Regions from separate parts of the Mus musculus genome. Here all the other regions are reported to be linked to region 1. The links are microRNA targets in miRTarBase. Many come from high-throughput screens and were not tested one by one. Region 1 holds a microRNA gene; each other region holds the end of a gene's coding sequence.
Evidence for each region. The annotated mature microRNA mmu-miR-19b-3p reads UGUGCAAAUCCAUGCAAAACUGA and lies in region 1 at 2,971-2,993, opposite strand. An mRNA with a match to its seed (bases 2 to 7 or 8) in the 3' UTR can be bound and repressed. Matches are read on the target gene's strand: a 7mer-m8 pairs with bases 2 to 8, a 7mer-A1 pairs with bases 2 to 7 and ends in A, and an 8mer does both.

Region 1 (4,066 bases):
AGGACAGCCAAGGCTATGGGGGGGGGGGTGGAACCACCTGTTTCCAAAAATAAAATAATGAATTTAATTTTCAAGACTTGCAAAGGCCCTATGATCAAGATCAGCCATCATTTTAATTTCAGACAAAGGTCTTGGGACTCTTAGGAGGCAGTGATCTACCCTAGCCCCTCGAGACATGCCTAGTAAAACTAGTAACTACAGTTACCTTCTGGATACGTGCCACCTTAAGTACCAGTGGACTACCAATGGCAATACACTTGTATTAAAGCAGACCCCTAGTAGTACTAAAGATTATAACAAATAAGCTTTAATCCCCACTTTTTAAATCTACTTTATTAGAAGGGAAGGAGGTCTTTGCTACCACATCAAACTTAACTACAATTAGGCACCAATAAAATACTAAGTCATAGCACAGGAAGTATCTCATTATTTTGTTTCTGTAATTACTTCAAACATTAGTGACTTAAGAAAATCCTACATACTTAATAGAGAATTTACTAGCCTCCATCTCTTTTCATTAAGATTTCATGTCATCACAGCAGTTAAAATCCATGTTCTTGACCACTCTTCACCTCCCAAGGAGAACAGAAGCCCCACCTCACTGGTGTAGGACCAATGTTATCACTGTATTTTCCCTAATGAAATGGAAGCTTAGGGAACTAGCTCAAAGGTGAAGTATAATTCAGTAAAAAAATTCTAACTAAATTGAACCTATGTAATGAGGTCCCCAAAAAGTAATAAAAGGCTTTCAAAGTTGGGAAATTCCAAGGCACAAAGAATGACACATAGTGATACCTCTCCCTTCTGATGAGAACTCAATGTTCAGATAGGTAAAACCAACACATACCTACCTAGTTTTTCCACTTACCAAAGACAGGGCAGTGTTAACATTAACACATGAAACAGAATGAGAAAGTGGGGTAAAAAATGTGCCTGAGTCCTTTCAACTTTATGAATTTGAAACTTAAAATAGAACCGGGCGTTTTTTTTTTTTTAACCTATAGTTCTTTGGGCGAGCACCATCAGCACCTGAGACTGGGTTACAAAGGCAAATCCTGAGGGCTCACCTGATGACAGTCACTCTCTGGAGATGGGACTGGCAGGGTTTTCAGTAGTGATAAAACCAAAGACTCAACGCAAACTTAAATTCCAGTTATATTCAAATGTTCCTTCAAGACATACCCTATAAAATTTGTTTTCAGCTCAGTGGGGGAAGGGCACTTGCCATCGGGCCTAAGAAATCTAAGATGTATGTCCATGACCCACATGACTAGCTCCCTACAGTTGTTCTCAAATCACCACATGACACACACACTAAATAAGTAGATAGATAGATAGATAGATAGATAGATAGATAGATAGATAGATAGATAGATAAATGTATGTAAATGCTGGAAGTCTAGGAGTGGAGGGGTGCCTACCTTTAATCTCAGCATTCTAGAAGCAGAAACACACAGATCTCCGCAAGTTCAAGGCTAGCCTAGTTTACAAATTGAGTTCCAAGCTAACCAGAGCTACATACCAAGACGCTATTTTAGAAAAGCCAATAGTATTGCTAATTTAAAAAGAGAGCCATTGCCATATCCAGGGATCCATCCCATAATCAGCTTCCAAACGCTGACACCATTGCATACACTAGCAAGATTTTCCTGAAAGGACCCAGATATAGCTGTCTCTTGTGAGACTATGCTGGGGCCTAGCAAACACAGAAGTGGATGATCACAGTCAGCTATTGGATGGATCACAGGGTCCCCAATGGAGGAGCTAGAGAAAGTACCCAAGGAGCTAAAGGGATCTGCAACCCTATAGGTGGAACAACAATATGAACTAACCAGTACCCCGGAGCTCTTGTCTCTAGCTGCATATGTATCAAAAGATGGCCTAGTCAGCCATCACTGGAAAGAGAGGCCCTTTGGACTTGCAAACTTTATATGCCCCAGTACAGGGGAACGCCAGGGCCAAAAAGGGGGAGTGGGTGGGTAGGGGAGTGGGGGTGGGTGGGTATGGGGGACTTTTGGGATAGCATTGGAAATGTAAACGAGGAAAATACCTAATAAAAAAAAAGAGAGAAAAAAAAGAGAGCCCCAGGCTGGAGAGATGGCTCAGTGGTTAAGAGCACTGACTGCTCTTCCAGCGGTACTGAGTTCAAATCCCAGCAACCACATGGTGGCTCACAACCATCTGGAATGGGGTCTGATGCCACCTTCTGGTGTCTATGGAGACAGCTACAGTGTACTTGTCATATAATAAATAAATAAATAAATAAATAAATAGAATCTTTTAAAAAAGAAAAAAGAAACCCATTTTTTTTCAGACTTATATATCAGCTTTATTTTGCAAATTTCAGGTTTGTTTACATTCAGTGCAATCAAAATGTCAGGATTTCAAATATATTTAAAAATATGTAGTTTTAAAAAATTAGACTCCAAGCTGGGCGTGGTGGCGCACGCCTTTGATCCCAGCACTTGGGAGGCAGAGGCAGGCAGATTTCTGAGTTCGAGGCCACCCTGAGTGAGTTCCAGGACAGCCAGGGCTATACAGAGAAACTCTGTCTTGAAAAACCAAAAAAAAAAAAAAAAAATCCACTCCAAATGTGTTCAAAGCAATGACTAGCTAAAGGATTTTACAATCTTACTATAGCACTGATAGACGGCTGTCCACATAGGTCCTGCGGTTTACAGATGGATACCGTGCAATTTTCCTCCTATTACACCAACCAAAATTGCATCGTGTTCCACCTGATAACAGCAAAACAGTTCATTTCATAATTACAGTCTAACATAACTTACAATACTCAGAAACTAAAAGACGATTAAAAACCCTCTTTCTTCCTCAGGCCGGGACAAGTGCAATACTTTATATCTAACACAAGTAATGCCACCAATCCCCACCTGTGGATGAATGGGCATGGATGCTGAAGATGTGCATAAAGGTGTCCATTACGATGCAGAAAGGTACACATTCCCACAATCAGTTTTGCATGGATTTGCACAGCCATATATTCACATATACGCTGAACTGCAAATCTGCAAAACTAATCGTAAGTAGCAATGTCCTTGCGCTGTAGTTGCTTCAACAAGACCTTGGTTGATCCAGGAGTACTAGAAGTGCTCACACTGCAGTAGAGTGGTATAAAAACTACCTGCACTATGAGCACTTTGGCACTACTAGGATCCGAGCTTGTTCTTCTACACAACTGTATACTACAGTCTCCGCCATCTGTTTCTCGGCGAAACACTGAAAGAGCCTTTGAAACTTGTGCCGTTCAAATCATTTCTCAAGATATGCTTTTCAAATGCAAGGTAAGAAGTAGCCTGTGCGAGAAGGGGCATTTAGGGCAGTAGATTGTAAGCTGCTTCACTAACAGCACTAGATGCACCTTAACACAAGAGACACATTACAAGGAGCAGCTCAAAAACATCCACAATCTAACTATGCAGAAACCAGGGGACTCAGCGGCCTCTGATTAAATCACCATGGTAATGTAAGAAGTGCTGGCACTGCAGTAGAACTCAAAAAGCTACCTGCACTGTTAGCACTTTGACATGGCCAAGGCATACTCCAGGAGTGTAACCTTGAAGTCTTCCACGAACTCTTCTTTGCCAGATCTGCAGACTCACCTGGATAAACACACACACACACACACAGCAAGTAAGTGAACTGTGAGTTACTATTTCTAAAACAAGTTTGCCTTCCGTTAAGAGTGCAAATGGGGTTGTGTTACTTCAAACATTAATAAGCTCAATTATTTACACAGACTTAAACATGAATAACACTGGCAATCTCAGAATGTCTGACTCTTAAGAGTAAGAGGATTTTGGACTCCCTCTCCGTCTAAGGAAATTTGAGATTCGCATCCCAGAAAATTTGCAGAGCTGTAATATCCACCATGGTTTTCTAAGAGGCAAGAGCCCAGGAAAAGATGTAAGCAAAAAAATAAATAAATAACATTAGGGTGAGTACTGACGTCTTGAGCTCATCCAGAGCTTTGGGGAGCCACTCGGAAGGTCTCTATGTTTGATTACATGAAGCATCCCTGCCCCCAGCCCATTAAGAGAAAATGATA
Region 2 (4,066 bases), not on the chromosome of region 1:
TTAAGAGGTCACTAAACAAACAGAAGATCTGGGGTTAGAGTGAGGGTCATGTCTCTTGCTGGGAGGGGAGGAGATAAAAGCAGACCAGACTCTTGTAGCCCAGCAGTTCCTCAGTCTACAGAGCAGTGCTTAGCACTGGGGCAACACCTCGAAGACAGCCTGACCTTTCAGATGTTCACCCAACTGAGGCTTGCCAGAGCCACAGCATGGTGACTGGATTTCCTGTCTTCGTGTTATGCAAAACAAGCGACCACCAGCCCTTAGAGGTCAGACCGTGGGTGCCTGTCAGGACGGAAGAGCCAGGTTTCTTTCCTACAACAGTGGAATAGCTCAGGTTGGCTCTGGCTTCCGAAACAATGGGAGGCAAGGCTTCTCCCACAGTGAAGCCCGACCGCAGCCCCCTTCAGAGATGCTTTCTTTCTTTTTTCTTTTGGTTTTTTGAAACAGAGTTTCTCTGTTATAGTCCTGGCTGTCCTGGAACTCACTTTGTAGTGAACTCAGAAATTCGCCTGCCTCTGCCTCCCAAGTGCTGGGATTAAATAAAGGCGTGTGCCACCACTGCCCAGCTTCAGAGATGCTAAAGGAACACTTTGGTAAGGCTCCAAACCTTACCAGCCCATGCGGCAGAATCTCTCTTTGACAGCCTCTCTAATGTGTACTCCCCAAATGGCAAGCAGGACTTTGAGTGCAAAGCCCCAGAAGGCATGAAAAGAAACCTAAACTAGAGTTGGTTGTCAAGGAAAGCAGCTGCCTTCTGCAAACAGTGTAAGGCTGACTGTGGTCTGCCATGAGATTACGGGATCATGGGAGAAAACATCGTGCCCCACACGTTCTTACAAAAGGGGGGCTCTGCAGGGGAGGTGTAAACGTTTGTCCCTCTGTGTAAGTAAGCCTGGAGAGACTCAGAGACAAATAGCAGGACACCATCCCACAGACCCATCTGCGAAGCTCAGTTTTTCCGCCACAGGGACCCTGTGCAACTCTGGGTGAGCTGCAGAGGTGTTTTCACCTGCAGGTCCCCTCAGAGTAGAGCCCAGAGACAATGTGCTGAGGTGGGTGCTCATCTGAGAAACTGGCCCTTGAAGACAGGCACGAACTAAAGGAGAGGTCTTGCTGGATAGTTAACAAGAAGCTGGCATCTGAGTTCAGCCTGACCTTTGACCTTTGGAGCTCCTGAAGTAGCAGGACCTTATTTTTATGCTCATAGTAAAAACAAGTGGAAAATGTGTAACAGTGAGATTGTAGGCAGGGATGACCAAGAAATTCCAGCATGCTAAGGCATGCTAAGTCATCCGGCATGGGTCTTGTCAAGCTTAAGAGGGCTCACTGAAAGCCCAGACTACAGCCACCAAGTCCCGTCTCCCGCTCCTGTACATGGAAAAGTCCACAAGCATGGGTGAAGGATGGGGCGCTACCCACCCAGGACGTGACGCTACCAACACACAGCTACACATCAGACTCCCAGATCTCCAGAGCCTGTCACAGAGGTTCTTCAGTAAAATGTCACCTGGCCAGGGCTGCTCCTTTTAGCCTCAATGGGGCCACATGACCTTGGGTCAGCACACTGCAAACCAGTCTGGAGAAATACCAAGGCAGCGGCAAACCAGAAGGATGGGGCTCTGGGGCTGGGGACACTCGTCAGGGAAGGTGAGGCTGAGAGTCTGCCTTTAATAAAGTGGAAACAAGCTAAGTTTATTAGTGCTAAGTTTAGCACTAATAAAATTGAAGGCTATTATATATTTAAATCTCCCTTAATAGATTTCCATATAACTTTGATAAACACAACACCAACACACACACACACACACACACACACACACACACACAGCATGCTGTTTAACCAGGAACATCCAACTGAAACAGACAAAAGCTGATAGGACATTTTCGCAGGTTTGGTGAACAGGGAAGTGGTCTCTACTTACAATGACAAATTCAACATTCTCATGTCAGAAACCACAACCACAGTCTTCCTCACTGGAGATAAACCTCAGAATGTACCTACATCTCTAAAGTCAATCGCCATGACCCAACAGGTCCGGGAGTAACCGGCTGGCAAGGTCATGCTACTCAGCTTTCACTATGGTCTTCTCCTGGCTCCAAGCTACTAAGGACTACAGCGAGGTCTGGGCGTCCACCAGGAGCCCTCTTGGGCCTGGGAACATTGAGATGCTTAGCCCAGGGATGCTCTGACACTCCCCTGGACAGCTACCAGGAGGGCTTCAGTGAGCTCAGGCGCTCGCTTGCTCTAGCAGACCCTTATGATGCCTGCACCAGGGAGGAGGGCTAACAAGGCTGGGTGGGGCTTAGGGCTCTGGGTTCCTTTTCTCTTTTGTGCAGCTTGAAGGAGGAGGTAAGCAGCTTGCTGAGATTGAAATTAAAAACAGAAGAAAATGGGAGCTGAGGGTGCAGAGCCTTTCAACCCCGGGTATGTGAAGCCACACTGAGACAAACCAGCTGGCATAAACAGCCAGCCTCCCCTCCCCAAGGCAGGAGAAGAGTTCAGGCTGGCTCAGTCCACAGTGCCTTTTAAAAAACCATTTACAGAAAATAGGAATCAAGCCACTTAAGACGTGTAGTCTCTGGGACAAACTGTGTGACCTGGGCAAAGTATTTAACCTCTGTGGTTCCCGGCTTGCTCATCTGTCAGTCAGTACACTCACTCAACTGCCCTTGGTACGTCCGACCTGGTGAAGTTTTACAAAACTCTTTCACACTCTTCTGTGCATCTGACTCTTACAGTAGCTCTATGGACTGGTAGGACCACTAATCCCACTGTATAAACAGAGAGAGAGAAAGAGAGACAGACAGACAGACAGACACTCAGGAGCTGACTGGACCTTCAGGGCCTCACTATGTAGCCTCGCCACCTGCAAGTGCTGGGACTATAGGTGTGTCCCAACTGCCCAAGTCCATTGCTTTTGACATCACAGCACCAGCTGGTTCTAAACTCTTCCCACAATCTCTCGTGTCCTTTCTGCAAAGGGTCTCTGCTATCAACGAGGTAGTGATCTAAGAACATGCCATTAACACTTTCCTAGCGCAAAACACTACTTTCCTAGGGGGTGAAGAACCATCACACAAGAGATTAAACCAGCGCTAGATGTGAGCCTTTTTAAGAAACTCCTCGGGCTGGTGTGTTTCCCTGTGACCTTTGACCTTCCTCCCCTTTCCTTCTCTTATCCACCCACACACAGAGGGTAGGAGAACCTGCCTCATAGTGACAACAGAGGACATAAAGAGTGAGCTTTTTGAATATTTGGGTGTTCTTTTTATTACTGACAGCTGTGAGCCCTGTCTTGTTTACAGGTAAAACTCTGATGAACCGGCTGGGAGTCCTGACTGCTGCATGCGCTGTCAGGATAGGAGTCACCCCCCCCATTCCCCCGCCCCCCCCCCGCCCCGCCCACCGGCGATGCTTTCCCATTGCATTGTGGCGCACTAACCTGCTTTGCCCATTTCCCCTTTCCTCAGTGATCCTTCAGCCTGGTACCCAGCTTTGAGATGAGGCCTGCTTAGCACCAGTGAAGTTCCCCACATTCAAACCAACAACGTTCTGTGTGGAGATGAGGGAGTCAAAGTTAAAATCCAACCCGTCAGCATCCATGAGTTCACTACGGATGATGGACTCCATGTCACATTCCAAGCTCCCATTGAACATGTCCAGGTCCAAGTCACTGGGGAACTTATCGTGGCCCATGACGGGAAGGTTTGCACTAGCTGAATACAGTGAGGAGCCTGAGAGAGAGTCCGAGAGGGTTTGCATAGACTGGCTGGCGGGAGACTGCTGCTGGTGTTTGGCTGAGCCAAGGCTGCTGGAGTCACTCAAGCCCATGTTGCTGACAGAATTTGACAAGGCACGGCTGCCACCAAGAGCGCCCTGGGTTTGGTGCTGGTGGTGGAGCAAGTTCTGATTGACCAAACTCCCCTGGGTAGGCTGGGCAGCAAAGGACATCATTGGATCGTTGCGAAGCATCACGTTCCGGCGGGCATTCTGGGCGGACACGGCGGTGCTAGCCTGAGACATCAAGGGGTCCGACTGGGTCATCATGACGTCGCTGTGGCTGAG
Region 3 (4,066 bases), not on the chromosome of region 1:
TTCCCTCGGCCTGCCCCATTGTCAGTCACAGTTGTACTGAGAATCTCCTCAGACCTTTTCCTTTCTCCTTCCAGATCATGTGTGCCCCACGGGGCAGGGATAGGTTTACTACCCCATCTTTCATCCAGAGGGATCCATTCAGTCGTTTCCAGCCCACCTACCCCTATGTGCAGCACGAGATTGACTTGCCTCCCACCATCTCCCTGTCAGACGGGGAGGAGCCGCCTCCTTACCAAGGACCCTGCACGCTACAGCTCCGGGACCCAGAGCAGCAGATGGAACTCAACCGAGAGTCCGTGAGGGCCCCGCCCAATCGAACCGTTTTTGACAGTGACTTGATAGACATTTCTATGTACAACGGGGGACCATGCCCACCAAGCAGCCACTCGGGCATCAGCGCAGCTACCTGTAGCAGTAACGGAAGAATGGAGGGGCCACCCCCGACCTACAGCGAGGTGATGGGCCACTACCCAGGCACCTCGTTCTTCCATCACCAGCACAGCAACACACACAGGGGCAGCAGACCACAGTTTCAGCCGAACAACTCAGAGGGCACAATAGTACCCATCAAGGGCAAAGACAGGAAGCCGGGGGACCTGGTCTGATTCCCTCTAGAGTGCACTTTTCAAGGAGAGAGAAACCGCGGCAGGGAGAGAGAGGCCCGCTGGCCCCACTGCCACAGTGTTGTCCAGCTTTACTGGTACAGCCAAGTAAAACCAAATGTGCAAACACGGTCTTCGTTTCTGCTTCCTTTCACGGGAATTGCATGCAAACAAGATGGAAACACGATTCAAACTTCCATCCAGTTTGACCACAGACAGTGTTCACCTTGGGGCAGGGGGTGGATGGAGACAAGGGCTAGAGATGGTATGATCTTGGCTAAGTGGTGTGCAGAGAAAACTAAAAAAGGCTGCTTTGAAGACATCATGAAAGTAAGACCCACAGAGGTATTTTTGACATATTTGATTCCAAAAGGAGACTGCGGATAAATGAGGCCACAGTGGCCTGTTTTATAATTAACTGAATAAAGAGGGAAGAATTATTATATATTATCATGGGGAAGAATCAGCCAGTTTGCTTTTTCTCCAAAGGTGTGAAACTTATTTTGTTTTAAAAATATGAGTCAAAACTCCTGTTTGGTGTGCCAAGGTTTTAAAGTTGGAGAAGTTAGACGAGTGAGAGGAAGTGATTTGTGTTGTGATGGTATGTTTTAAGAGTTGCACTATCTCAATGTTTAACATATGGATGAGGGAACCGTGTCGTGTGAAGTTCTATATGTTGTCTTGTCACCTATGGATGGCTACCATGCCCAAGGAAACACTCTTGAGTGTCCACAGAGTCATACAAGAAAGGTATTTGGCAATGTACCCTGGTGTTTACCAAGTTAATGTACATTTTTAAAAGTGGTTATGTTGCAAGAATTTGCAGCCAGAAGCCGTGTACTACTGAGGTATTTGGAGAGGTTGGTGAAAAGAGATGCTTACACTGTGTACGGAGTGTCACGCACAGCTAGTCTTTTTCCCAGCAGGGTCAGCAGTTCAGACTTTTTTTCCACAGTAGCATGAAATATATTCAGATACATACCCTATTTTATGCAATAAATCGTCTAAAATGCAAGCTGGCTATTTTGTGTACTGCCGAACTATGGGTCGCAGCGAGTCCCATTGCACTTCTCCACTTTCCGAGGCAGCTCTGTTGAGTTCTGCGAGGGTAGTCTGTTTAGCACCTGGCACCAGCAGTTGTCCCCAAGGCCACTTGGCTTTCTAAGTGCCGTGCTGGTAATGGTTCTTTATGTTTAATAGGCCCCTGGACGTGATGAGAGGAACGAGTTTGGCATAATAAGCCACTGCATCTCTCCAGTGTTGCATGTTAGGGGAATCCGGCACAGACCTGCCAGCGCTCATGCCAAAGACTTCTGCATAGCCAGTCTTCGTACCATGGTCAGTGAGAGGATAGAGGTGGTGGGTCAGGGTGTGACTCAGGACAAGGCAGTGGCAGGCAAAGTTGCAGCTGGAAAATGGCTTCTTAGTATTTGAAGTCAGTTTATGATTTCGAACATTTTTTATGTAGAATAAACAACAACAACTTTATTATGCAGATGTAAGAGCTGGCTTCCTAAACTGCACGGAGGCAGGCTCCAGCTTTCTGGAAGTCTGGCCTCTGCATGCAACACAATGAACCGGAATAGAAATTCGGTGGCAGCTTTAACACCAAATCGATCTCTGTCTCTCTCTGTCTCTGTCTCTGTCTCTCTGTGTGTGTGTGTCTGTCTGTCTGTCTCTGTGGTGTGTGACTGTTTTTAGAAGTGATTACATGAAGTAACTCTGTATTCTTACCTGAGAACTAAATTGTTCAAAGCCGGAGTCCTCTCTGACCCCAGGCTTCTCATTTCTGCTTGTCTTAGTAGGCAGGCCACTGGCTTAGTTTGAGTTTTGAAATCTCCTTTGAATTCATCCATTTTGCACCGTAGCGTCCACAGGAATACTCACAGCTACAAGGAGAGAGAACAGACAGGCCGCAGTCGTCAGCTTGTCTTAAACACTGCTTGCAAGGATGCCATTTGGGACTCAGGAACTGCTCTTCTGTCTTGTCTGGTGACATTCAGTGGCCTTTTAGGCCACAGGTGAAGCAGGCCAAAGGTGACCTTTCCCACTTCTCTGAGGCCTCCTGAGAAGGTTCTGGCTCCTGGTGACCTTATGCTCTCAGGCTGTGCTTGAATGGTACCCCGAGATACAGTGGCAGAGGAGAGGTCTATGTCCTCACTGGGATCTTACTGGTCAGACTTGGCATTGGATGACTGCCAGGGGGTGGTGAGGTTATGGTTTTGTCATTCCAAATCCTAACTAGTTTTTTGGCGAAGCTGGAGATCCCAGCTTTTAGTTTCAGCTCCAAACGGCTTCTCAGTCCTTCCTTTCATCTTTCCTTCCTTTTCTACCGGCTGTGAGAATGAACTGAGATCAGAGACTCATAAATAACTTTGGAACTTGGCAAGCACAAGGGCATTTTGTAGATGCCAATAGTATAGGCAAAACAATTAATTCAACTATATTTAACTACGTTTCAAAAGAGAAGTTGCTTTCTTAATGTTTTTACACACACACACACACACACACACACAACTAGTGATTTTGAGGCTGGGCCTCTTTAAGGAATTAGTATAAAAGCCAAAGCAAAGGTCATAAAAATTAGTCCGTTTCTCTCAGCACAGGGAGGCGGCTTAGGTTGTAGCTTTCTAGCTGACTGCCCATGCTATGCTGTCTCCTGGCTCTAAGGCGTTGACTAAGCAGCTACTGTGAAGACACAGCTCATACAGGGGGAAGCCGAGTGCTTAGAAGTCTAGTATTCAGTTTGGAGAGCAGCGAATTTAGGCAACTGACAGTAGGCTATACTGACAGATGAATCCCATGGGGCTCTTGAGTAAAGGTTTACAGTATTAGAAGGAACAGTCCCGGGCAGGCCATTTATCTGTTGTCTCACAGATTTCCAGGATGATAAAACACACGGCCTGCAAATTCATCTCCTGGAGATCAGCCTTTTGGCCTGCATTTGCTTCTTCCGAAGTTCTATAAACACAGAAGCAATATTTAATAGAGGAGACTAGGAAGCCAGCGGCTCACCCATTTATGTTTACTGGTAAAGCAGGCCCCATGTCTTCGCCACCGTAGACACACACCTAATCCCACAGGGTGGCAGTAACTAAAGCTTACAGGCAGAATGTGAGACTTGCACTTTTTCTTAGTAATGTTTAGCTCAAACTCAAGAGGCAAGGATGAGGATAAACTGGGATGGATGCCTCTTCACGCGTACATGGGACTTGGGTGGCTACACACTCACACACACACACACACACATATGTATATACACACATATATATGTATATACATACATATATACATGTATAGTATTTTTAAAATTCTAAGTAGCTCCAATTGATCTTTATCAGGACCAAAAGGAAGTGCTTTCAGAAAGCTGTTGATCTGAGAATCCATTCATATGCCGGCCTTCCCCACACATACAGGTTTTACATCTCTTATCCAGCTGTTCCTTTTAGAGATGCCTGAGGCAG
Region 4 (4,066 bases), not on the chromosome of region 1:
GTAGTACCAGCAGGGCTGGCCTTCGTCCTAGACATCAGCCCGGTGGCACACCGCGTGGCTCTCTGCCACCTGGCCGGTTGCCAGGAGCAGGCGGCCTGGTACCACACCCTTCAGATCCTCTTCTTCCTCGTCAGCGCATACTTCTTCTCGTGCCCTGTCCCCGAGAAGTACTTCCCCGGTTCCTGTGACATTGTGGGCCACGGACATCAAATCTTCCACGCCTTCCTGTCCGTCTGCACGCTCTCCCAGCTGGAGGCCATTCTTCTGGACTACCAGGGACGCCATGAGATCTTCCTCCAGCGCCACGGTCCCCTGTCTGTGTACAGCGCCTGTCTCTCCTTTTTCGTTTTAGCTGCCTGCAGTGCGGCCACCGCCACCCTCCTGAGGCACAAGGTCAAGGACAGACTGATTAAGAAAGATTCCTGAGGTCCTTCAAATGAGGAAAGGTGTGGAGGTGGGCTACTGTGACTTGGAGAAAACTTGACCCAATAATAGAAGTTGACTTTTTATTTTTCAGGCTTGATTTTTTTTCTAAATTAATATGTATTACGGGCTGAGGATGAAACTCACATTGGTAGAGAGTGCTTATACAGCATGCAGAAAGCCCAGGGTTTGATTTCCCAGGGCCACAGAAGCCAGGGGGAGGCACAGGCAGGAAGATCAGAAATTCTAGGTCACCCTCTGACATATAGTGAGTTCAAGGCTAGCCTTTGATACATGATAGATACCATATCTCAAACAAAATTATTATGTATTTTCAAAGGCATGGTATGACTATGGAATTTCAAATGCAGGCCATTTGAGAGTTTTAAAACAGTGCGTTCATTTTTCTGTCTGGGTGATAGCCTTGTTTGGGAAGAGATCTTGGCTAAGATTCATGAGACCCCAAACTAAGGAGAGCCATCTTCACCCATGAGCAATGAGCAGAATTCTGGTTGTAGCTTCCAAAGAGTAGTCCTGAAACTAGACAGATATTTAAACTGGACTGCCAAGTATAACCTTGCCCTAACAGAACAGCCACCCTCCGCGCTGCTGGGCTTGGTGTCTGTGTAAACTGACCAACGAACTCTGTCTTATCAGGATTTCAGATTGCTTTGGGTGGAAAAAAACAGAATCTTCAAGAAGTTTCCTTGAAACTCTTAGACAAAATGGACTATTCAATTTATCATTCCTGGTCTCGACCACTGGTTCTTCTCTCAGGATAACCAACTAAGCTGGCCAATTTGCCTGAAGTACTACTGTTCTCATCCCTAGTCTGCATGGTAACAAAGAATCCCGAAGCTATTACCCTTCCAGGAAATGCTTGGAGCCATATGAACATTCAGGAAGCTGATTCCCGCGTAATACAGAGGTATCGACAGATTTAACAGTGCCAAGAGCTGCCAAGAGACCCAGCCAGCAAGCACGGCTACCCTTGCCTGCCTGCTGCCCATGGGACCCTTGTAGTTTATATCTGAGGACAGCAGTATTAACTGCCAGCCACTTAGGGTTGTCTTGCAGGTCAGGAGATTGGTTGTCTGAAGGTTTGAAGAGACTCCTTTACAAGCATGGTTCTAAAGTTCTCCGAGAAAGCAGACTATGTCAAGCGGATCCTAAGATCCAAGGTTCAAGCTGCTGTTAGATGCTGCCCCGTGAAGGACCAACGCAGCTACCCCAGTTCAGAGTCCTCATGAGGCAGTTCCACCTCCGACTTGAGAAGAAACCTTAAAATGGGTCCTAGGAGGGGTGAATGTGTGCTCACCGTCGTTGGCCCCTGAAGGTCCCTTGAGTAAGAACGAGGCACCTGATGGCCGAAGGCACTGTCCGTGATATGGCTGCCAGCCCCTGATGTGAGGGGAGTGGTGCTTGCAGCTGAGATGTTCTGGCCACACAGCTCTCCCCGAGGACTGTCTTCTGCATGAACCCAGTGGAGGAGGCTGTGTTTGAGGAAGGGCTGAGGTGCCCTCTACTCGCAGGCTGCACTTCCTATCATTATAAGGTCCCTGTGTACTAAAAAAGGAAGCTAAAGTTTCCAACTCCAGTTAATGAACCTCCTCTTGCTAGTCTTAAAACCTTTGTTTTCTATATATATATTTTTTGTGCGAGTGACTTGTGAATTTTGTGCCTTATACATGGGAATGTCTAAACTCTTTTATTTTAATATATGCACACATGGAATTTTTCTGTTTTGTGTTCTTGGGACAAGAAAAAAAAAGGAACCCCCAAAAGCTAGAGTGACCTGTCAATCAACTATTAATCTGTATGTGAGAGGGGTCAGCAGCAGTATCCCTGCTGCTTTTAAATCAAGAGAGCATGTGTCTCCTGCACTGTTTTATTAGATGGGGTTCTTGTTCATTCATGGTCAAGAAGATGAACGCCTATGCTAGCCAAATGACCCAAGGTTCTGATTGTCTAGGTCAAGTTCATGCCAAGGAATGTTAGCAAAACTGAACGGGTTTGGACTGAGCAAAGACTTCTTAGGGTGTGTATGTGTAAACGCTCCAAGTAGAGGGTCTGTTTAAAATGGGAACCAGAAAGTGTTAGAAGTTCTGCTGTTGTGGATTCAAAGACTGTATTCTTTTAAAAGTTGGTGGGAAACGTGAGAGAGGAAAGGGATGAGGAAGGCGGTCTTCTGGTGGTATCTGTGAACAAAGATTTTTTTTTTTCCTTTTTCCTGAGATCAGATCTCACTGTATAACCCAGGCTGTCCTGGAAATCCTTATGTAGACCATGCAAACCTTGACCTCTAGAACTCTATAGAAATCAAGCTGTCTCTGCCTCCCACATGGCAGGGCTAAAGGTGTGGCATTCTGAGTCTTGTGGACAGGGATCTGTGGTATTCAATGGTCCTGCAGCCTAGGGTCGAGCTGAACTCTGTTCCTCACAAGTCTGTGACACCCGTGACACCCGTGACACCCGTGACGCCCGTGAGAAACGTGAGATACTGGCGTTCAGTTCCTAGTTTAATTATACAACTATTGCTAACTATGGACTTGGGAACTGATGAAAAAGAAAAAGAAAGTGATTTCTATGGAGTTGGGACTTGAACCTAAGACCTGCAACATGTTAACAAAGAGTTCTCCCATTGATGTGCACCCCAGGCCAAGCAACCGTGTATTTATAATAGATATTTGGGGAGGGCACTGAGGTGGGGGGAAAACACCAGTATCTAATTGGAATAATGCAAATGCCTTTACAAATGCATACACAAATGGGTGATTTTTAACTCTTCAGAGTCCTCAAACAGTGTCATTAAAATGGGCCTATCAGGATGGTAAAGACTAGGCTAGTTTAAAAGTAACAACCAAAAATTGTAAAGAGGAGTATGCATGCCTCTTGATTTTACAATGGAGTTTGTCACCCTGCAAAATCAGCATAATGTTTAAAAAGGTATAAGGGAGATAGTTTATCTTGCTCTCCAAAACTAGAAATTTTGGTTGTTGCCTCTCTTAGTTAAGACTTTCAACCCATTAATATGTAAACGCCTCTGATAAGATTAAACCATCAGTCATCTATACTTTCTCATGAATAAGATTCTTGTGGGTTGATATAAGGCCCCACTTAGTTCAAGAAGAGGATACACTGGACATGGGGGGCTTGTTTCTCATTTCAGAATCCTGACTTTTGTTTGACGGTGAAGGCTGTTTTTGTTGTTTCTTGTTCAAGGTGTTTGTTTTGTTCGAGATGGACCTCACTGTGTATCCCAGGCTGGCCTGGAACTCCAGATGGATTCTCCTGTCGCAGTCGGCCAAGGAGCTGGGATTCCAGGCTGCACCAACACCATATCCAATTCTAATAAAACTAATTTTAAAGTTCTTAAAGATGTCAGGGTTACAATTTCAGCTCTTAAGTCTCTCAATAACAATAGTGTAAGCCATAGACTGGAAGCTTGAAATAGAATTCAGAGCCCTGACAGGAGGGTAGTTTAGCCCTGTTTCGGTCGCCCTCCATTTGTTTGGTTACTATTCTGTAGTTCCACCTGCATCCTCCAGAGGGTGATGTTGTCACTCTCAGTACACTCAGAGCTTGTTGCCAAGGCTTCATGGCTAGATCTGTGTTTTGCTTGGTTAAAGAAAAAGTGTGGGAT
Region 5 (4,066 bases), not on the chromosome of region 1:
AAGAAAAATCTATCCCATAGCCTGTTCTGGAGACTGAAGCAGATCTAAAGCCAGGGTCTAGGGCAGTGCAAGGTCCCAACTCTGCAGGGCAGTTGGGCCCCAGTCACAGTGCTAGGCACCACAAAAAAGCATGCTTTGATGGCACCTGGCATCCTGAAATCCCATGAGGATATCGTAGCTGGGGCAAGGAATACAGAGAAGGGGAGGCCAGGACTGCTGAGAAGGGAAACCAGGCTGTCCATCTATGAGACAGGTGTTGTGCTTGCAGAGCAGAGCTCCCTGCAGATCCTAGCTAAGCAGTCATCTCTATTGCTTGTTAAACTTAGAACTACTTCTACATAACGTTTGAGGCAAATAGACCTGCCATTTCCATAAAAGAGAAAGAAAAAACAAAACCAAACAAACCCACTTTACAGCATTGTTGCCTTGTCACTGAAGACGGTATGATTACCAAAAGCTCTCTTCCAGACTGTTGCCACACACCTTGGCTTCCGACTCCTGTCTTCCCAGAGGCACACACCTTACTTGCTTGCTTCACCTTAGTGTCAAGATTGTTAAGGCACCATCACCACCCCATGTTCATTTAAAAGGGTGCACATCTCAGCTCCTCCTCCAGTGAACTGACAACACACTTCCTTGACAGTCGCCTGCTCAGAACCATGGGAGAAAGAGCATGGAATGAAGGGGCACCATCCACAGTCCACAGTGGTCACCACTGCCTCCGTTGTCTTTCCCTACTCTGATGTGATCTTAAACTTCTGTTCATTGTTTGCAGATTGCCCTTTCCTCGACACACACACACACAGACAGACACACACACACAGACACAGAGCACCTTGGAGCCAGAAGGACAGAAAAAGCTAGACTTGGAGAGGAGCTGGGGAAGCTAACATCACCACTCTGCAGAAGAACTGGTTTGGAGCAGAGGGTGGAGAGTGTTAGGGTGTGGAGCCGGTAGCATACAGAGGAGCTGCCTAAGGTTCCAGCTGCCCTGCACTCTTACAGACTAGGCTGCTCTTCTCACCAATTTGCTACCCAGCCAAGGACCAAAAAGAAGAGGGGATGAGGGGTAAGGGATCTTCCTGTGGGAGAGGCTAACCCAGGTGATCCCGGGGCCCTGGTATCTGAAGTCCATTAGCCTGTGTTCACAGCGCCAGTGGTCAAGAAAAGGCATTATCACCAGGAGCTGAGTCTTAAAATCTGACCTTGTGAGGCTGGTCTTGTCACTCAGGGCCCGACAGAGGGGTTTGTGCTGAGGCTGCTCCTTTCCACAGTGGGCTACAAAGTTCAGCCTATTTCCTGGTGCTACCAACTTTATATTCAAATAGCCAAGAACCCTCTTTTTTGTGTGTGGTAAAGCAGAGAGCAGAGTCCAAGAGTTTTCCATTGTGCTTCCAGTTCCGCTCTTAACCACCAGGGTCCCCTCCACTCATGAGATTCCAGAAATCAGCCTGTTCAACCTTAAACTTGTCAACCCAGAGAAACAGCCTGACTAGACTAAAGCTCTGGTTTCTATCACCTCTAATGTCAGGAGATTTCTCCCTATAAAGTCAGGGAGGGAGGGCAGACACAGAACTATGGGAAGGAGATGGCACTGTAATCTTTCATCAGGAGATAGGCCAGCCCCAGCATGGAAGTCCTACTGCCCTCTAGAAACTAGACTGTAAACAAAGGCTACCTCGCTGAGGGTTCTCTGATGGCAATGTATGGCTCAGGTGTGTCAGAACCTGCTGCAGCAGGTGTGCCTTTCGTCGAGTGTCCAACCTGGGAAATCTAGAGCTTTCTTAAAGTACTACTTCCATTTACATCAATCCAGCCTCCTTACCTGCATAGCCTCTTCATATCTAAAGCATGACCCACATATTCAAAGCATGACTCTACATGACTCTACTTTTTAAACTTCTACTTAGCGTTTCCAAACATATCTATTTCAAAGCAAAAAGCAATGTCTAAATGCTCTTTGCTTCCCTCTGGTGTCTCAGCTCCAAGAAGCTTCTCACAGATGGCACACAGGCAAGAGCTTGGAGTTCCCAAGCCCACCAGATGAGTGGTGCCATCCCAATGGAGGGCGTGTCCAAGCCCAGCCCCAGAACCCTTGGGCTGCCTGTCACACAGACACAAAGTGTGCAGTGGTCCTGCTAAGGTCTGTGCACAGCTCGAAGTCCTCATAGAGGAGCCAGGCACAGGCCACATCAGATCAGAATGGTGTGCAAAAACTCAGACAACTTTCAACAGGGAACTGCCTGATTCCCTACTGAAAGGTTTCCAACCTTATACATTAACTCGGAGGGGTTTCATCTCTGGAACTGGGAAGAGAAAGGACATGCAGAATAGACCCTAGCAGGTCAGAGAGTCTAGTTTCTGGGCAACAGTAGGAACAAAAGAATTTGAGGTTCTCAACTCTGCCATTAACCAGTGAGGTAACCAAGAGACATGTGCCCTATACTCAGGGATCAGCATTGCTGTTGGTGAACCACACAGAGGTCCGCTACCTCTGAGCTCTTGTGGCCCTAAAATATCCTCTGCTCCCCTCACCCTGCGCCATCCCCCTAAGCATGGCACACAGCCCTCACTGATCATGGCATGCTGGCAATAATGGGAGCTGAGTCTTCCCAGAGAGGACATTCTTCCTGAAGCATACCATTACTTGAATGGTGACCTAGATCCTGTGTGTGTGTCATAGGTGTTGTGCTGGGGCTGCTGAGAGCCCTGATGTAGGGAGTCTACTGGATGACTCCTATCATCCCCATCCACTCAGATATTTGGCCTTGAGAGCTGGGTTCTTACGTGTGCAAGCACTGGGCAAATCTGTAGCAACAAATGAGCTAGCATTCTAAGCCTCCAGCTAATACACATGGCCAGGCCCCTGCAATCCTAGCAGGGACCTGCCACGCACCTATCCCTACCACTCCTAACCCCCTTTGGGCCTAATGGGCCCTTTTGAAGTGGGAGTGCTTTCTGCTGACCACCAGAGCTTTTTCTACATACAGCTTGAGTGCCCTGTACATACACACACACTCACTGTACCCCTGCTTCCCGGGACACCCACTGTCTCTGACTCGTAGGCTGAGTGGATGGCTGAGCCACAGCAGCCAGGCTTGTGCTTCCTCTCCCTCTGTACCTCCAGGTGAAGAGGCTTTCCGGTGTGATAACACCACTGCAGCAGGGGACTGACCCAGGACTGGGCATGTGTGTTGACCTTGGGGCACAGAAATATTCTTCTCCTGTCATACCCATTTGCTGTCCCCCCTGCTTCAGCAGCAGAGGCAGAGCAGCCAGTCTCTGGTTGGTAAGGCCAGAAAGCCCATAGAGGGCCTATGAACAGAGGGTAGGCAGGGCTGTCTTGGCAGGCAGGCAAGCTCCACTCCGGACTGGGCCACCTAAAGGCAGTGGGGGGCCTCTACTCGCAGGCCAGCTTGCTGTCAAAGCTGGACAGAGCAATGGCAAAGGCCTGCAGTGCACACAGTGGGTAGTTGTAATCCATGGTGAACACATCTTCTGCTACCCGGCCAAACTGCATGACGATGTAGTCCGCTGTGGCATGCACAAGCAAGAATGGTGGAGACAGGGAGACCAGGTAAGACATGGGCCACAAGAGGGAAGGAGAAAGCAGAAATGCCAAAGAGATCGAAAGGATGAACAAAACAAAGGTTCAAGAGAAACATTATGAAGCAAGAGGGTGAAGGGGGGAGATGCACACAGACAGCAGGGCCCAGGAGAGAAAAGACATCCATTTAAAGGGTATTCCCAAGCCCCAGACATGCAGGGCACTAGGGGCAGGACTCTAGATCACTACAGTTAGAAAGTTCTAACAAAAGCCATATACCCACATCCCATCACTGGCTGATATGGACCAGATCAGGGGATTGGGGGTGGGGTGGGGGCTGGGCACCATGCGTACAACATCAAAAACAGGGAGTGGCAACACTCACGGTCATTGCCGTGGATGATCTGGAAGTTCTTCACAGAAGCCTGTGTGACACGGCCGTGGAAGTTAAGTACATAGGACTGTGTGTCATCATTCCAGACTGGCGTCTTGTTCTGCAGCTCAATGATGCTCTCCGTG
Region 6 (4,061 bases), not on the chromosome of region 1:
CTGTGCACAGGCTGGTGTTGGGCTCAGCTTTGGGAAGGTGTGGCTTGGTGGTGGTTTAGGAAAATCATTACTCCTGCAGCAGCAAATCCCCAGGTATGCCCTGCTCCAATCCACACGTGCCGATGTCGTTCTTCTAATTGAAATTGGAGCTCACACCGGGGAGAAGATGCCAGAAATAGTTGAGAGTTCTCACTTGGCCAAGGAAGAATGGGAACCCTTTGCTTCTATTTTCTTCTTTCTTGTATTTTTGAGCTATCCAATTAGGACTCATCCCAACAAATCAGGCAGCCTAGGTTACGTAGTAACAAATCAGGCAGCCTAGGTTACATAGTAACAAATCAGGCAGCCTAGACTATGTAGTAGCATGTGACTCCTGAAACGAGGGTCTGGGGTTCTACACATTGTATTTTAAGCATGCTGGAAAATAAGTAGCATGCCAGGAAGCCTCATTGAACCAGACTAGAAGGGCTGTTCCTGGTATGCAATGGGCAAGCCTTCTGCCTGCCCACGTGATTAGATACTAATAGCAGACTGTTTATAGCTAACAGTTATCCTACGGCTAGGATAATTCAAAAGGCTGATTAGGAAAAATACATAGCTTACTGTGATACTCTGAGACATGCCTTGAAACTCTAAGAAGCATTGCTCCAGTCCAAGACCAAGATTCATGCTCCCCTGTTCCAGGGTTGTGCTTGCCTTCCAAAGAGAATTCCCTCCTGTACCTATGACCTAATAGGGAAATGGGGACATTTATGTCTCTGCTTCCCTGTCTGCAGAGATGTGAGCAGGCAGCCTCTCATAACCATAGCCACTTCTGCCACCATTGCTCCCATTCCATCACAGGAAGTTCCGTGCATGGGCAACAAGCCTTCTTTGTCCGTGTTGTTTGCCTGGACTGAAGGATGCTCTCACAGTAGATCCTCTAGGCTCATTCTGATCACTGACTTGCTCCAGCCAAGGGAATGTGTGTTCTTTTTAGGAAGCCTCTGTTTCAAGATAATCCTGGTGCCTGGGGTTTTGCAAGAGCACGTGTGGCCTTCATTTGCTTAGAACTAGATAGCAAGGGGCCTGCCTTTGGCTACATAAAACCACCAGTCTGCAAGGATCCTTACAGAGCAAAGTGGCATTTGTTATTGCAGGGAGAGGGAAACCGAAGCCCAGGCCAAGACCATCCTGAAGCAGCACCCATGTAGAGCATGTGCTATGTGGAACCTTTGGGGCCATGTCCCCACAGTGATGCATGCTGCAATGTTAATTTAACACAGGGACCAGGCCTATAATGTTATATTGAGCTGTTGAGGTATCATATTGAGAATCTGGGGGAAACGCACAGGTCTGAAGAGACCTGCCGATGCCAGTCCACCTGAAAGGACTTAGGACTTCCTTTCCTTCTTACTTATTCTAGGCTCATTAAACTGACTTAAATATGAAACACATCCTCCATAAGGTATATCAAGGGAGGCTGACACTAGACACAGATAGGGCAGACAGAGTGTGGGGGTCCTCTACACAAGTGCCATATCCTGTTTGCCTTGAATACCCCTTTTCTTGCAACGACATGTGTGATGATTCATCCTGCCAAGCAGACAAAGGTTTAGAATCACAAAGGAGATACAATTATAGGTGTGCCTGTTAGGGTGTTTCTGGAGACGATTAGCTGAGTAGCCCCACCCCACGGGCTGGGGACCTGGACTAGATAGAGGGTGAGGGTAACGGAGGCAGGAAACCAAATGGAACAGGATTTTGATAGTTTGCAGAGATGTAAGCAAGCAGCCTTGTGTTCCCAGTCACAGATGCCGGCCACTCCCTACTGTAATGGACAGTGTCACTTGAACTTTCACTGGAAAAAACCCTTGCTCCCTTAAGTTGCTCCTTTCAGGGGAATTTGGTTATTGTGATGGGAAAAGTCATGAATACATCCAGCACGCAACCTTCCCAAGTATGCCACTCATATTTCTACAGGTCTAAGAGCAATGCTTGGGGGCTCTGGGAGGAAGGCTGGAGGAGGGGTCAGAGTGCCCTCTTCTCAAACGTTAAGTACAGTCGTATAGTACCTGACTGGTAATGGGTTGGGCACCCCCGCCCCCATGTAATGGTGTAGCTACATCATCAGATATGGTAGGCACCAGACAATTAATTGATCCTCACTCAGCAATACCATTCTTCTCCCTGGAATGTCGTATTTGCTTTTTCAAAGAAAAGGCACACTCTTGTGCCTGCTGATAAACCTTGTTAGGAAAAACCACCCGATTCTCAGAAACACTAATGCTTTGACACTGCAGGGCAGCTCCCTGGGCTAAGTAGGGCCTTCCTCCAAGACAGAGTCTCTCTTACCAGCCAATAATGGCCACCTTCCTACATAGCTACTTCCCAGGAAGTATTCATACAAGGGACTTTCCGTGACTCACAATCTAAGCCCCTTTAGGCCTCAGAGCACTTGGTTTTCAGCAAGGCTTCTTCATGGCTTTTTCATAAAACATCTGTGAGGCTTCAAGATGGTTTGTAAACACCTGGAGAGGGGCCAGCCTGGCTGAGCTGCAGCAGGAGGATTGCAAGTTCGAAGTCAGCCTGGGCTACCAGCTAGATCCTGACTTTAAAAAAGAGAGAGGGCCAGCCAGCCTGACAAGTTGGAGATCAACTGCGTATCTGACATACTACACAAAATCCCAGGACAGGTCGAGCTTGCTAGCAGCTCTGAACAGGCTGGGAGATAAGCTAACAGGGTTGGACAATTCATGTCCATTGACCCTGCAACCTGAGAGCCTGCGACCCTGCTCATTGCATTTTTTTTTTTTTTTTTTTTTGCTTCCCAGCAACAAAAAGCTGCAGGTAGCAGTAGGTGGGTTGTGAGCTTTGTAGGCTCTTGCTCAGCCCCACACCACACTCCCTCCCCAACCAAGGGCCTTGTGTGTTAACCACTGAAGTTCACTTACCTGACTGGGCAGGCTTTCCCAATGCTTATGAGGCTCTATAGGACTGTGGTCCTGAACACGCAAACTCCAGCACTCAGTCAAGATCATAGCATTATATTAAAAGTGAAACCATTGTCCTTTAGAAAGAAAACTAACGGCGGACAGAAAGGAGGGTGCAAGGGCTGGTTGACACCAGGAGGCGATGAGTTCTAGGAGCTGACCCGGGGCCCCACGAGCGCCCTGCTCCTGGGCCCCACACAGGCACTAGGGCAAGCCCCAAGGTCTCGGGCTACAAGATCAGGACAAGGACTCAGTCTCAGCATCTGTGATAGCAGCCAGCCTGCCAAGGCAGATAAGGAGGGGAGGGGCGAAGCATGGTGAAAGGAGGCTTCCACTCGGCTCAACACTGAGGTCTGCATCCCCGAGGTTAACCAAACACCGTGTTGTGCTGTTGGGTCACCCGGATGAACGTGGCTCTCCTGCTGAGCTCTTTGAGCTTGGCAGCCCCGACGTAGGTACAGGTGGAGCGCAGTCCTCCAAGGATATCCAGAATGGTGTTCTCCACGTCCCCTTTGTAAGGCACTTCCACGGTCTTGCCCTCGGAGGCCCTGAGGAGGGAAAGGAGAGGGGTAAGGAGGAATAATCTTATTTTTCCCCTTAATAACTAAGGTAGAATTCTCCCTGCTGTATAGCCTTTATTCCTTTGACAACATGCAAATGGAGTGTTTGGGACATTTTACGTTCCCCATCACCACCTATAAAATCACTCCTGCTCTTTCCTCATAAGCCCCTCCCACCCCCAGTTCTCCCACCCTTTTGGTTTGTTTCATTGTGATCCATTGAGCTGATTCACTCAGTAGGGTTATGTCCTTGAGCACGGGGCACCTCACCACTGGTCACACCATTGAAGAAAACGACTCCCCCTGGCAACCATGAATTGCCCGTAACTCCTTGGAGAGGGGCGGGGTGCTGCAAGGCCCTTCCCCATCCAGTGCCAAGTCTTATCCAGCTAACAAAGGCTTTGGTGAGTGTGGGAATGTGTCAGCAATGTTAAACCCACAGGGTAGTGTTTCACCCACTCTAACATCCCTACTGAGACCCTGAAAGATGAGGTATCCCTCCAACCCTATAAGAACTTCCCTGTTCACG
Region 7 (4,066 bases), not on the chromosome of region 1:
GCCAACTCCCTGCCATCCCTTAAGACATCCCCCACCTTCTAGGCTAGTTTCCCCTCCAGAGACATTCACCCTAGTTCAGCAGAGCCTATCCTTCATACCATAAACCCAGTTAGTTGCCTTGGCTCAGGGGATAGTGGTGGCAAATGTCTCAGCCCTGGCTCTAACTCTCTGTGTGGCCTGTACAAGTCTCAGTCTCCTCATCTTCATTATGGCGACCCTTCCAGCGTCCACCTGATAGAGGTCAAGTGAGGACTCCAGAAACTGTGCATATGAAGTAGTCAGCGTAATGCCTGGCACATGGTAGCTACTCCCCAGTGGCAGCAGTCATTGCCGTGCTCTTCCCTCCCCATACTTGCATGTCCCTAACTGTAGGAACTGTCCCCTATCCCTTTCTGTGGATTGAAACTTTGACAGAAGGGTGAGCTTTCTCTTCTAGGTACCTGCAAACCTTATGTCCTTTGAATGAGTATCTGCAGGACTTGGCGAGACTGCAAAGGCTTCTGAGAGCCTAGACTAGGTCTGTGGAGGAGAGCAGCTCTGGGCATAAGCTGTGGGCCAAGGCACTGGAGCCTCATCGCTGGACTCGAGGAATATGGCCATGGCCTCACAGTCCTGGATGGCTCCCCAGTGTGAGATCCACCTGTCAACCCACAGCAACTCTCATGAATCATTCTGCAGCAGCACCCCACCGGGTGGCTGTCAGACCCCAAACTGCGCACCCTATGCCCCCTCTCTGGGCCATCGTCTGTCCACCAGCTGCTTTTGCATCAGGGGAGCATTTGACCCATGTTGGGTTCTCCATGCTTTCTGCTGCACACAGAGTGGATGGCGTTAATCTTCGAGAGGGCTGGAAAGCAGAGACGGGCTGCTGGACAGGCTTGTTACACCCCAAGTGCACCGGCCACTCACCCACAGGGCCGCCTCCGATTTTGTATACCCTTAAAGCATCCTGTGTGTGTGTGCGCGCGGTGTGTGTGTGTGAGCGAGTGAGTGTGAACGCTCTGAGAAACATACATTTTGGCACAAGACTTGTGACATCACACACTTATTGGCTTTGAGTCCCTGCTTGAAGCTTTAGTTACAGCCTTGTCCTCTAAGAAAAGTCTGAAGGGAGTCCAGAAGCTCCGTGTTAAGGGTCCCTTGAGTTCTTTTACTGTAAACAAACAATGCCTTAAATCGTGTCTTGTTTTCTGTTCCTATGGGTGCTATTCATCTGGATGGCCTGTTCCCTGGGCCCCAGGCCCTCCTGGGTCTTGTTGTCAGCCCGCCTGAGGCAGAATCCATTTCAGGACCGTGTACTGGGCACTGGCCTGCTTGCTCCCCACCACGAGCTTTCCTGGTGGTCCTATGGGCCCTCCTTATCTCGCCCACTCCTGCTATGCTGGTGTGGGAAGCTGGGACCTTTTCTCCCAGCAGCGTGGAGGCCCCCACAGTGACCGGTGGTCAGAAGCTGTGCCACCCCGCATTCTCCCACGGGGCAGAATTACGCTCCTTTCCTCACCCTTGCCACCACTGCCAGGGCCGGCCACACTGATTCCTGATCACACAGGGAGCTGAGTGACAAGGGGGCCTAAGCCCCCTCAGTCTTGCCCCTAAATGCAGTCACCAGCAAGTTCTCATCCAAGTCCAAGGGCCCAGTTCTTGATGACCAGGTGAGAAGAGAGCCAAACCCTAGGGAGTGAGATGTCCAGCCTCTGCATTCATGAACAAGGACCTATCTGTCACCTGTTGTCATAAATAAGGTGATTTTTACTTTGCACATTTTAATTCAAGTGTATTGCCCTTTGTCATCACTGATGCTCTCTGTCCTTCTTCCTCTTCCTCTTCCTCCTTGAATCTGGGTACCCTAACCCTGAGAAGAAAACCCTCAGTTTTCTGGAAAAGGCTGAATGTCTGGGTCCCTGTGGGTATCATGGTTTTACACAGTAACCCAATCATGAAACCATCCCAACAATAATGGAGAAGCTGCAGACAACACCATAACCATGAACTTACCACCAGAAAGCACTGTATTACAAACAAATGGTGACATGTCTCTAAAACATGGATGACTTGATGGGGTGATTAGTTGTTGTCATGGCCGTACGTTTGTTGTACTCTGAAGCTAGCCTTCCTGTGGGCAGAGCCTGGATATTTTCATGCCAAGAGAAACTCCACATGGTAAAGTTGATGCCATCAAACCTTGACCACAGCTGCCTTGCACATCCACCCCCACCAGTGGTCCAGCTGTGTGCACTAGCTGTATGCACTGGATTCTATCAACGTTGCTCCAGTTAGAATCCAGAAGATGGATGACGGTGTCAGACACTTGAGGCACCTCCAAGCAGAACCATTCGTGGTCCACTTTAATCTATTCCAACTCCAAACCTGCCTGCCTGCCTGCCTGTTAACTCCTAGAAAGCCAGACCATCAGCTGCTAGTTTCCTTTAGGTGTCTGCTTTTGGGCTCATTGTTTGGATTCTTGCATGTGCAGTGTCAAGACATCAAAACCCCAGAACTTCATCCCACTCAAATAACTTCCTGCCCTTTACAGATTTGTCTTATGAGACACAGTGTTTTCTTCCAGGCCTAATCTGAAAGAGCACAATCACAATTATTTTCAAAGTGTTTAATCTTCCTAAATGAAGCCAAACTCCCCTCCCACAAGCATCCTTACCATGAACTCTTGAAGACAACTGCTTGAACTTTATTAGTGAAAAGCCTTGTAGGACTTTTGTGAGCCTTGAAGGTAGTGGGAAAGCCCTGTCTATGGAGTTAAAAGATATTTGTCTCTCCAAGCAGGGCCTTAGGCCAAGCATACAAGCTCAGTGCTGATATCCTCGGCACAGCTTGTCACACAAGGCTGCAAGGGGAGGTGGCCAGGTCACATGACAGAGTCAGTGGTCCTTTGGTGGACTCTTAGCCTTGAAGGAAGCTGTTCTGCACTTTTGCTCCACTGTCCATCGTACACAAATACTGTGAAACTGTTGGAGACAGACCATGGCACCCCAAACTGAGAGCTGTAGAATGCTGTTTAGAAACTGGGATGGGCAGCTGGTAGAATTAGGAAGTCCCAAGAAAAGCCTTCTCACTCACAATAAGAGTAAACCTCTGTCCCCTTTCCAGTGTACAAGTTTTGCAATACAAGGTCAGCCAAGTGTCCGCTGGCAAGCAAGATACCTTGTGGATGCTGGACTTGGTGGGAAACACTCCTACACAAGCCAGCAGGAGAGTCCGGCCTTCCCCTGCCCTGGCTGAATGCCTTGGGGCACTTGATGCTGAGCAGGTAGACACATCCGTGGCTCGCCAACAGGCTCTCTGTATTTCTCCTCCTTACCAAGATGGCCAGTGTTTCTTCCATCAGTTTACTCTTGCCTCTCGAGCCTAAGAAAGGTGTGGTGGTTTTTTGTTTGTTTTGTTTATTTTTTAATATCAATTTTCAGATGGAAAATGATCTGTAAAACTGGGAAGCCATTTATAAGCCAAGGCTGCTTTAATCTGCACGTGGCATCCAGAGCTTTGCAACCTCTATTGAATATTGCCAAAAGCACAGCTTCTCTTCTGTGTGACCCTTAAACTGTCCCTGTGTCATATTGATATGTTGGGTGATTTCATGTTATAAAACAAACAAAAAACCCACCCTGCACAAAGCCCTTTTGAAAGTGTATTTATTGCATAAACATTCATATGTCAAGTGAATACTTCTTATACCCCAGGCTCTACCCAGACTGAAAAAGGCTAGAAACAAGACAAATCCAATTTTGGCCTTTGTAGAACTTAACCAGTCAATGACCAAATAATTACCACCTCACAAGCCAACTTTGGCAAGACCCTATCTCTCCCCTACTCCTGAATACAATCGTGTGCATTGGTTCTTCCAGGAAGACCAGATTGAATGGAAATGTTGGGAGAGTAAGTTGCATTGAGGACTTGCTGGAGTCCCGACATGGGAGGCTGGCTGGCTCTAAGCAGCCAGATTCTGATCTGTGTTCAAGAATGGTTCCAGGGAAGACGCCAAAGGCAGGATGAGAGAGTAGGGTCTGAGTGCTTGCCGTACGCACAGCCCCCCACCCCGTTTACTCTGTAA

Region 2: the mRNA of Foxo3 is a reported target of mmu-miR-19b-3p. The part of its 3' UTR that is shown has no 7-base or 8-base seed match.
Region 3: the mRNA of Ldlrad4 is a reported target of mmu-miR-19b-3p. The part of its 3' UTR that is shown has no 7-base or 8-base seed match.
Region 4: miRTarBase lists Paqr8 as a target of mmu-miR-19b-3p. The part of its 3' UTR that is shown has no 7-base or 8-base seed match.
Region 5: miRTarBase lists Tub as a target of mmu-miR-19b-3p. Seed matches in the 3' UTR shown: 7mer-A1 at 2,789-2,795 and 8mer at 2,207-2,214.
Region 6: the mRNA of Gmpr is a reported target of mmu-miR-19b-3p. The part of its 3' UTR that is shown has no 7-base or 8-base seed match.
Region 7: the mRNA of Ralgps1 is a reported target of mmu-miR-19b-3p. Seed matches in the 3' UTR shown: 8mer at 1,754-1,761 and 7mer-A1 at 2,198-2,204.

Annotation. Positions count from the first base shown.
Region 1 is chrX:52,739,021-52,743,086 of GRCm38, forward strand. It overlaps Mir19b-2 (microRNA 19b-2), which reads right to left and starts at 3,046; the gene lies at 2,963-3,046. Mir363 (microRNA 363) reads right to left here and starts at 2,747; the gene lies at 2,673-2,747. It overlaps Mir92-2 (microRNA 92-2), which reads right to left and starts at 2,908; the gene lies at 2,818-2,908. It overlaps Mir20b (microRNA 20b), which reads right to left and starts at 3,172; the gene lies at 3,093-3,172. It also overlaps Mir18b, Mir106a and Kis2.
Region 2 is chr10:42,193,023-42,197,088 of GRCm38, forward strand. It overlaps Foxo3 (forkhead box O3), which reads right to left. Exons shown (of 4, transcript NM_001376967.1): 3 at 3,444-4,066. The coding sequence ends at 3,479. Among named protein-coding and RNA genes, the nearest start is that of Gm38485, 80 kb to the right of the region's middle.
Region 3 is chr18:68,253,935-68,258,000 of GRCm38, forward strand. It overlaps Ldlrad4 (low density lipoprotein receptor class A domain containing 4), which reads left to right. Exons shown (of 6, transcript NM_172631.4): 6 at 75-1,615. The coding sequence ends at 605. Among named protein-coding and RNA genes, the nearest start is that of Mir7219, 5.0 kb to the right of the region's middle.
Region 4 is chr1:20,935,263-20,939,328 of GRCm38, forward strand. It overlaps Paqr8 (progestin and adipoQ receptor family member VIII), which reads left to right. Exons shown (of 3, transcript NM_028829.4): 3 at 1-4,066. The coding sequence ends at 426. The region is part of intron 1 of Gm51618 (a long non-coding RNA gene); the gene reads right to left. Among named protein-coding and RNA genes, the nearest start is that of Efhc1, 14 kb to the right of the region's middle.
Region 5 is chr7:109,029,592-109,033,657 of GRCm38, reverse strand. It overlaps Tub (tubby bipartite transcription factor), which reads right to left. Exons shown (of 12, transcript NM_021885.4): 11 at 3,933-4,066; 12 at 1-3,534. The coding sequence ends at 3,401. Among named protein-coding and RNA genes, the nearest start is that of Tub, 21 kb to the right of the region's middle.
Region 6 is chr13:45,545,332-45,549,392 of GRCm38, reverse strand. Gmpr (guanosine monophosphate reductase) reads right to left here. Exons shown (of 9, transcript NM_025508.5): 9 at 3,007-3,520. The coding sequence ends at 3,340. Among named protein-coding and RNA genes, the nearest start is that of Gm34582, 22 kb to the right of the region's middle.
Region 7 is chr2:33,134,080-33,138,145 of GRCm38, reverse strand. Ralgps1 (Ral GEF with PH domain and SH3 binding motif 1) reads left to right here. Exons shown (of 20, transcript NM_175211.5): 20 at 437-4,066. The coding sequence ends at 466. Among named protein-coding and RNA genes, the nearest start is that of Garnl3, 5.5 kb to the right of the region's middle.